2 linked regions of the Rattus norvegicus genome follow. The protein of the gene in region 1 interacts with the protein of each later gene in a pairwise test. Links are inferred from orthologs where the notes say so. Each region holds a gene or a part of one and is shown on either strand. Other genes may lie near its edges.

Region 1 (3,732 bases):
GCCTATACAGTGCCAGGGCCCAGCCCCAGGGCTGTGCCTGCCTTTTCCAAGCATTGTACAGTGCCCATTTGCTCTTCCGTTTTCACCCAGTCTTTCCTGCCAGCATCTTTTGCATTTTTAAGTCCTCGGTAAATATCTGGGGTTCAAGGCCAGCGCATCACCTCCTATTTTCAGTACTGCTGCAGAGTTAGAAACAATGCCTATGGTACTGTAAGCATAAAACAGAAGACAAAGCGAGGACTCGTTCATTAGTCCTGTGATCGCTCAAGCAAAACGCAAAGCTGGGAGTCTCTCCCAGCTGATACTCACTTGACAACTTTGATTCGGAACCGTAAGTCTCCGGGTTCCCCATCCACATGAGGCTCACCTGGTCAGGGCAGTCCAAGAAGAAACGGAAATTACACAATCTGAACTCAGTTTTTACCTGACACTTCGAGTGACTTTTAAATCCGTTGCCTCAGGCAGTGTCTCTGTTAAGTCTGTCTGGGAAGGCAATGCCTTCACTCCCCCCCCAATAACATGCAGCCATATATTTAAGGGATAAGGCAAGAGTTATCATAATCCACACCAGCATCTCACCTTCTCCAATAAAGGGGTACTCCATGCCATCTCTCACCCCAGGCTCTATTTCCACTTCTAGTGTTCGTTCTTCATTCACTAGTCTGTGACAAAGGGAATTTAAAAGGGGCTAGAACACAGCAGCGGAAGCCCAGGTACCATCAGCTCTGCACTGTGCTCCCAGGGAGGCTTTTCTTGGACAGCCCACTGTGCTGCTTGCCAAGGCTGCCTGGGCTTGCTCAGAGCGTTCAGATGCTAACACTGAGAGCAGAGCGTCTCTGCATCACACAGATATCAGGGCGTGTACTCGGGGTCAGAGCTGGAGGGAAGCATCTGTCACAAGTAGACACAAGACACACGCCGAGGGCCTTTCACTTACTTGACATTAGGGCACTCGTCACAAACCACTTCCTGGGTCATTTGGAAGCGCCCTGGTCCCAGCTGTGTGGTTCGCATCTCCTGCCGACAGTTGCATTTCCGTTTGCCAGGAGCCTGCCTGGCTACGGGCTTGTTTCTAACTACCTAAGAACACATGAAACAGCCTTTAGTTTTCCTCTCTGGGGTACAAACCAAGGCCCACACAGGGTGGCAGCAAGTGGGTATTGAAATGACTCTGATCTCAGTCTGAAGCTGTAGGAGAGGAGAGAGGGGAAGAGACTAAAACCAGATATTAGTATCAGCATTTCCAAGACATAGCAGGGCCGCTGAGTTAAAGCAGCTCACAGGATTGCTATGTTGAGAAGTCTGAGCTATACACAGCACAACCCCCAACCCCCAGAACAGCCATGGCATTCAAAAGCTGCTGTGTGGCTACCTCCCAGTTCTATGAGCAATCTCCCTAGACCCCCTCTTTCTGTTTTAGGCAACCCAGCCCAGGAGTAATCCCCAGTGCTGTCACCATCCAAACACATTCATAGACACGTCCTCAGCTACACAGTGAATTTGTGGCCAGTCTGGGCTATGTTATCCTCATCTCAAAAAACAAAACCAAAAGGTGGAGAGGATTGAGTTCGATTTCCACTGTCTACATCTGATGCCTTGAACATCTGCACTCCTGTGCCCACACCTATAGATATACACAAAATTAAAACTAAAATACAGCTTTTAAAAAGCACCACATTCTTATATTTGTGTATTCTCAGGGCACTGTGTTCATGGCGTAAATGACTAAGCGTCTGGAGAAGCCGCCCACAGTGGTGCTTACACCCACTAGTCGTGCACACATCTAATCGCAGCTCTGTAGGGGCTCTTACTCCTCTCGGCACATTCGGTTAAGGGAGACCACATGGTTTGAAAGCATGCAGTCTAGCTGCAAAGTCCATGACAAATGTCACAGAAGACAACCGCAGGTGAAAGAAAGCCACCTTTTACTAGAGAACACAGAACAGCTTCTTCATTTAGAGCAGACTTTTAAAATGTAAGACTCAAAAATTAATCATTAAAGATCAGATTTTTTCACATTAAAATGAACACTTGTACTAATTAAAATTCTAAATACCGTGTAAAACAAGTTATATCATAAATGGATAGCTACATCTGCATCGTGGCTCAGAGACTTAAGAGCAAATATGAAGCAGTCTCACAAATCAACATGAGAGAGACAAAGCAGGGCGCACGGTGATGGAGCATCTCACAACAAACAAACAGGGCCAACAAAAGAGATGCTTAGCCCAGTCAGAGATTAAGAAGTGCAACCAAGATACAGAAAACATCTAGACCCATCTGTAATTCTAATTAAGAGGGAGCAGGGAATATCCCATACGGACAGGGGTGGGGCAAACATGTTGACTGTTGGCTTGGACAATTTCAAACACACTGTGGCATTTTTGTGTAATGCATAAACGTGTCAGCACACCCAACAATTCTACTTTCACACTTCATGTGTAATTACAATATGTACAGGAATGTTCACATACAGGACTCTTCGGGAGTTAAAAGAACACAACCCCACTGACGTCACAGTGACGTCTACTCAGCAGACTGACAGCTGTAGGCAGCAAGGATGACTCACAGAGACAAACGTCTCTCAAAATACGAGGTGCCATTTTTACAAACTCAAAGGCGACAGCAAGAACACATCGTTCAGGTTCATGCATGTGCAGTGCTGCAACACACCAGACAGCAGTGGTGAGCCAGGGCAGTGAAAAGCACACAGGCAGGCACAGGCATGGTACTGCTTCACTGCATCCTCAGGCTAGGCAGTTTGGTTTGTGACTGCTATGAACTAAGGATTCTGAAGAATTAACTGTGTGCCAGTCACTCCCTCTCCTACTCTAAAAGACAAAAAGTACTGGAAAGTCTCTGATTTGTGGTCAAAAGTACAAGTTCTGTGGGTCAGTGTGCGTAGGTGCATTGTGCGAACTTACTTCCACAAAGTTCCCTGCGTACACTTCTTCCAAGGTGACTTCTAGATCTACGATGATGTCACTTCCTCTTGGAATATTCCTGTCCTGCTGACGAGGGGCTCCTCCAAACATGAACCCAAAATCTCCGAAGAAGCTGTGCACACAGGAGACCGTCAGGACAGAGGGCTCGGACCCTGTCGCACAGTTGACTCTCTTCCCCTTGGTAAAATACTGTTCCTACCAGTGTACTACACAGACCAGATATTTAATATACTGAATCTAGATATAACAATTTTAATTTACATATATCAGGTTGCTGCCCACCTCAAAAGAAATGCTCTCTGTAATACAACATGTTGCACACCCAAGAGCCACACCTAAGTGCACAGTGTAATACGTCAAAGGACTCAATCTGGACTCAATCAATGGGATAATCCACTCAAATACCAATGAAAATCCAGATATGACAGACATATTGAAAAAGGATAGAATATAATTAATATAATTAATATAAATAATCTGGTGCAATTTAAACTTTTTGGTTAATGTAAGGAATTCCTTTTGTTTGCTCTTTGTTGTTTGTTTGTCTAGACAGGATTTCTCTGTGCATAGCCCTAGCTGTCCTGGAACTCACTCTGTAGACCAGTCTGGCCTCAAACTCAGAGATCTACCTGCCTCTGCCTAGAATTAAGGGTGTGAACAGCATGCCCGGCCTAATTTAAGAGATTCCTTAAGGTTAATTTTGAACATCTGAACGTATTGTGAGTGTTCACTACGTCTGCTCTTTAGAGAGTGCAGGCCTTGACGAAGAAGCTACCACTCTACAGAA
Region 2 (4,549 bases), on another chromosome or scaffold:
CAAACTTTATTTTCTCAGGATCACTTTAAATGCCTTAAAACTATTGGGCCCCTCCCCAAGAATCTTTTGCATATATGGTTTCTATCGATATTTACTGATTATAATTTAAGATGGAGAAAATTTTTAATTAGCTTAAAAGTTTCTATGCAGGGCTTCATGTAACCCAACAAGTTCCGCTCTTTGTTGTTTTGGGTCAGGGCCTCATTCTCAGCTAGACTGATCCGGACCTATATAGTTCTGCTGCTTCCAACTTGGAACAACCCTCATATCTCAGCCTCTCCAACGCTAGCTAGCGTTGCAGTTGTAAACCAGCCATGCCCGCTTTACAAGCATTTAAACAGCATAACATTTTATACATTCCTTTTCTATTTTTGAGATGGGGTCTCACCATGTAGTTCCCGAGTAGACTAGGCTGGCCTTGAATTCAGAGATCCACCTGCCTCTGCTTTTGGAGTGCTTAAAGGTATGTGCCATTATACCAGGCACAAACAACATTTAAAATGAAAATTAACTCTGTAAACAAATATTATCCAAAATGTTAGAATGGTTAATTTTCACAAATTTCTTAAGTTGCAATTTAATAGAAAATGGGTGTGTTGTAGTTCTGCCTCTATCTATAGTCAGTCATGTGTCGTTTTGGCTGGAGTATGCGAAGAAAATTTGACCTTACAGATCTCTTTAAAAAAACAAAAACCAAAAAACAACAAAAACAACTACCATGGCAGACGAGATGGTGGAGAACCAACCTCCTCAAATTGTCCTTTGACCTCCAAACATGAATCGTGGCACACACACACACACACACACACACACACACACACACGTATACACACACGTCACTAAAATTTAAAAAAAATTTTTTTTTAAATTTAAAAAGGAGCCAGGTGGCTGACATCTGTCACTTGGAATGCCTATGTGGGAGAAATGTGTGGAATTGGAGGCTATTATTCGGTTCGTAAAAACCAAACCAAACCAACCAAACAACAACAAAAAAATAAACCCAAGAACATATGACACTAAATTAGCTCTTTATCACCTTTGTCCTCCAACCCTGGTCTTAGCCTTGGAGGCTTTCTCCTGGCTCAGAGCTATGCCTTCGCACAATGCATAGTTGCACAAATGCAAAAATTGTAGTCTGTGGCAGCGTTTTCCCCTCGATGTTTCCGTATATCTATACCTTGTTCTTTTCAGGCGGAATTCCGTAACGGGGTTGTATTCAGTTTGTCTTCCCTTACGGATAAATGGATTAGGTTTCTGGGTTTTGTCATCTCACCACGCCTACCCCGGGGTTAAGGGATAAAGACAGAGCAGTGAGGACTTCCCTCAGGGATCAGCCCCGGGAAAGCAGGACTACCCATCAGGGGCGGAAACCTCCGGCTTGGCAGGTTGGAAGCCTGCTTCCGGGAAGCCGACCGGAAGCCGCTCAGGGTGCTGCGACAAACCTGACTTCAGGGGCCGTCGTAAAAGTGTCGTCTCTGGCGCGTCGGGTCGGCCACAGGTTTCCGCTAGCTGGCAGCCTGGGATCGGGAACTGCGGGCGTTCGTTTCCCTTAAGATGGCGGACGAAGAGATGGACGGCGCCGAGAGGATGGACGTCAGCCCGGAGCCTCCCCTGGCCCCTCAGCCGCCCGCATCCGTGAGTCTTCTTCGGCTAGCGCCTTTTGTCCTCTCCACCAGCAGCTTCCCACCGCGCCTGGGAGGGTTTGGGGCTCCGCTTTCTATGGCGGCGCTGGGGAAGGGGAGTCCTAGGATTGAAGGACCGACCCTGCCTCCCCCCATAAAGTTAGTCGTCTCCTGCACGCATTCCTGCCAGACAAATCTACGGAGTTTAATGACTGTCATCTATTAAGTCTCAACGTACTCAGACAAGCATGTCTCTATTTTGAAGTGGAAAGAACTCGTGGAAATTTAGGTGGTTTGCTCTAGGAGCTGAGGTGAGGCTAGAGAAGGCCATTTTTCGGTAGACGCATTGCTGACTCCTCTTGTTGATAGGAATTGGGACCAGCACTTGGTGTGATATAGCATTTGTCGGCTGGATTTGATAGAGGCAATGAGTGTTGCGGCTGTCAAGTCATGTCCAGATATCCATTATTGTAGCGTCTTGAGAACCTTAGACCTGGCCCCCACTGAGGGAAATTTGTCATTTGTCATGCCTTTTACATGTAAGAAGGGACTTTTCAAGGGAGAGAATGCTGGAATCTATACTTGGCTCTTAGCTTTTGAAAGAAGAAGAAAGGGGAGGTAGAATAAAATTAAGTCAATAGTCTGGCTGCAGGGAGAATACTAACAGAGTAGGCTAAAAGGTGAAGTAATGTTCACAAATGTTCTGATGTGGTCCCTTCAGATAACTAGCAGGGAGGGAGACACTTGTGAAGTACTCCCTACTGATCACGACACGTTTTATCAGTTTGTCTATAGCTGCATATGGAAAAGTGTAGGAAACACACCCACACAAACCCATTGTATATTCACGTACCTGTTAGTGAAGTTGTTTGTAGTTTTTAATAAACTCATTCTTGGCTTACTTTATCCTGGTAGACTCTAGAACATTATTTTATGAGACAAGAGAATGACTCAGAAATAAGCCAACCACAGGGACAAGAGAAAATGTCTGTAAGATAAAAACCCAGTAGGGACAGGGTCGGAATAAGAATATGTACTAGATCAGCTCTTGGCAGTCTTCTTCCTCCTTCCCCAAAAGTAGCTGAAACTCACTTCACTGTTGGTAGTGAAGCACAGATGAAAATAGTTAGAAAATGGTTCCAAGTGGCTAAACTGGTTTTTGTTTATTGTTGTTTTTGTTTTTGTGTTCTAGTGCTGGGGAGAAAACTCAAGGCCTTATGCATGCTAGGCAAGGGCTCTTCTGAGCTATAGGTTAAGGAAGAAGGATCATTTACTTGCTTTTCAGGAGTCAGGCAAACCCTGGGCTAGACAGTGAAACTCCATCTAAAAACAAAAATAGAAAAAAAGATTCACTTGTATGCGTGTGATCTAGTATGTTATAGTCCGAAGACTTGTAGTTCCCTATTGCCAAAGATGAGTAATGTTTATTTAAATCTTTGCTATATTAATTCTTTCCCACTAGCACTGCAAAACCATAGTAATAAAACCATAAAACATTCATTAATTTGGAATTGGAAATAATGGCATAGAAATTGAACAGGAGGGGTTGGGGATTTAGCTCAGTGGTAGAGCGCTTACCTAGCAAGTGCAAGGCCCTGGGTTCGGTCCCCAGCTTGGGGGTTGGGGGGTGAAGAAATTCAACAGGAATCTGTAACACTCCTTCAAAGAATAATTTATTTTTGTGGGGGCACAGCTTTTTAAACTTAACAAAGAAGCAAGGAGTGGTGTCATGTAGCCTCAGCGAACTCGGTCTTGTGATATAGATAATATAAATGATGAATTTAGATTCAAGATAGGGTGGTGTAAGTGGACACAGACCTATGACTGTGAAGCCTTTTAGTTTTTTTTGGCTTAAGTCCCAAGTCTTTTTGCTTGACCCCAGAGTTCATCCTACTTCCTGTACTTTTTCTGGCTGCCCTTTTCCATTTCATTCTCTCTATTTAAAACCTTGTAGTTAAGCCAGAATCGCTCAGCTTGAGTCTTCAGCACCCCACCGATGTTTGTTTAACTTGTATCTCAAATCACTGCTGGGCCTTGTGGAAACAAAGTAACAAATATAGGACAGCTACAAGCTGTAATAAAGATTTCTGTTCTCATTAGAGTGCCTTTCTAGTTACAGTTGCTGATTTCTTTAAACTAAGTTTCTTTTTCTTTAGATACAAGGTTGGTTTAGTAACCTGTCAGCAAAGTCTAGCATCAAGTAACAAGTAGAATGAAATGATAGGGCTGGAAGGATGGCTCAGAGCTGCTTCCTGCACAAGCTTGGTACCTTAATTTGATCATTAGAACCAATGAAACTGTGGAAGGAGAGAACCAACTCTACAATTATGCCCTCTGACTTCCACATTCATGCTGTCGCACATGTACCCATCTGCTCACCCACAATAATAGTAATAATTTAAAAATATTAGAATGAGATAATGATGGAGAGTTATTGGGCATTTTTACAAGACATTGTTTAAGATTCACCAAGATAAAAAATAGAGTTTAAAAAAATGTATCAAGAGAGTTGATTCTTGGACCATAAAAATCCAAGAGGTCCAAGCAGCTACATATTCACAAAAATGCCTTATTAAGCTAGCCACTTGGAAGTTACCAGTTTAGAATTGATGGTTGAGGCTATAGAAATGAATATCTTTAAGGTCAAGTTGTGTGCATATACACACACAGAAACCACCCAGCTGAGAAAATAAGAGTGAGACAATGTCTGGGATGTAGTTTTTAAGAAAGAGTAGTTTATTGGATCCATGACAAGGACTGAGAAAATTGGAAATCCAGAGGGCATTGGGTGGTCTGCCGGAACATCTGCTTTCTTTGACTGGTTTCCCGCCTAAATTCCTTCTTGTAAGAGGAAGGTGTCACATGGCATGGTGCTGTGATCTTTTTCTGTATACTGACATTGCCTTCTTGCTCAGTTCTACAGCTTT

The links. The genes of interacting proteins can lie anywhere in the genome.
Region 2: the proteins of Dnajb11 (region 1) and Ubr1 interact in a two-hybrid assay, tested with the Homo sapiens proteins (2 studies listed by BioGRID and IntAct). The link is inferred for Rattus norvegicus from reciprocal best matches to the Homo sapiens genes DNAJB11 and UBR1.

What each region holds. Positions count from the first base shown.
Region 1 is NC_086029.1:91,659,198-91,662,929, forward strand, and holds part of Dnajb11 (dnaJ homolog subfamily B member 11 precursor), read right to left. Parts: intron 3,058-3,732; coding exon 2,925-3,057; intron 1,081-2,924; coding exon 938-1,080; intron 663-937; coding exon 580-662; intron 368-579; coding exon 310-367; intron 1-309. UniProt on the Homo sapiens protein: As a co-chaperone for HSPA5 it is required for proper folding, trafficking or degradation of proteins.
Region 2 is NC_086021.1:128,372,478-128,377,026, reverse strand, and holds the start of Ubr1 (E3 ubiquitin-protein ligase UBR1), read left to right. Parts: upstream 1-1,554; coding exon 1,555-1,635; intron 1,636-4,549. UniProt on the Homo sapiens protein: E3 ubiquitin-protein ligase which is a component of the N-end rule pathway. Recognizes and binds proteins bearing specific N-terminal residues that are destabilizing according to the N-end rule, leading to their ubiquitination and subsequent degradation.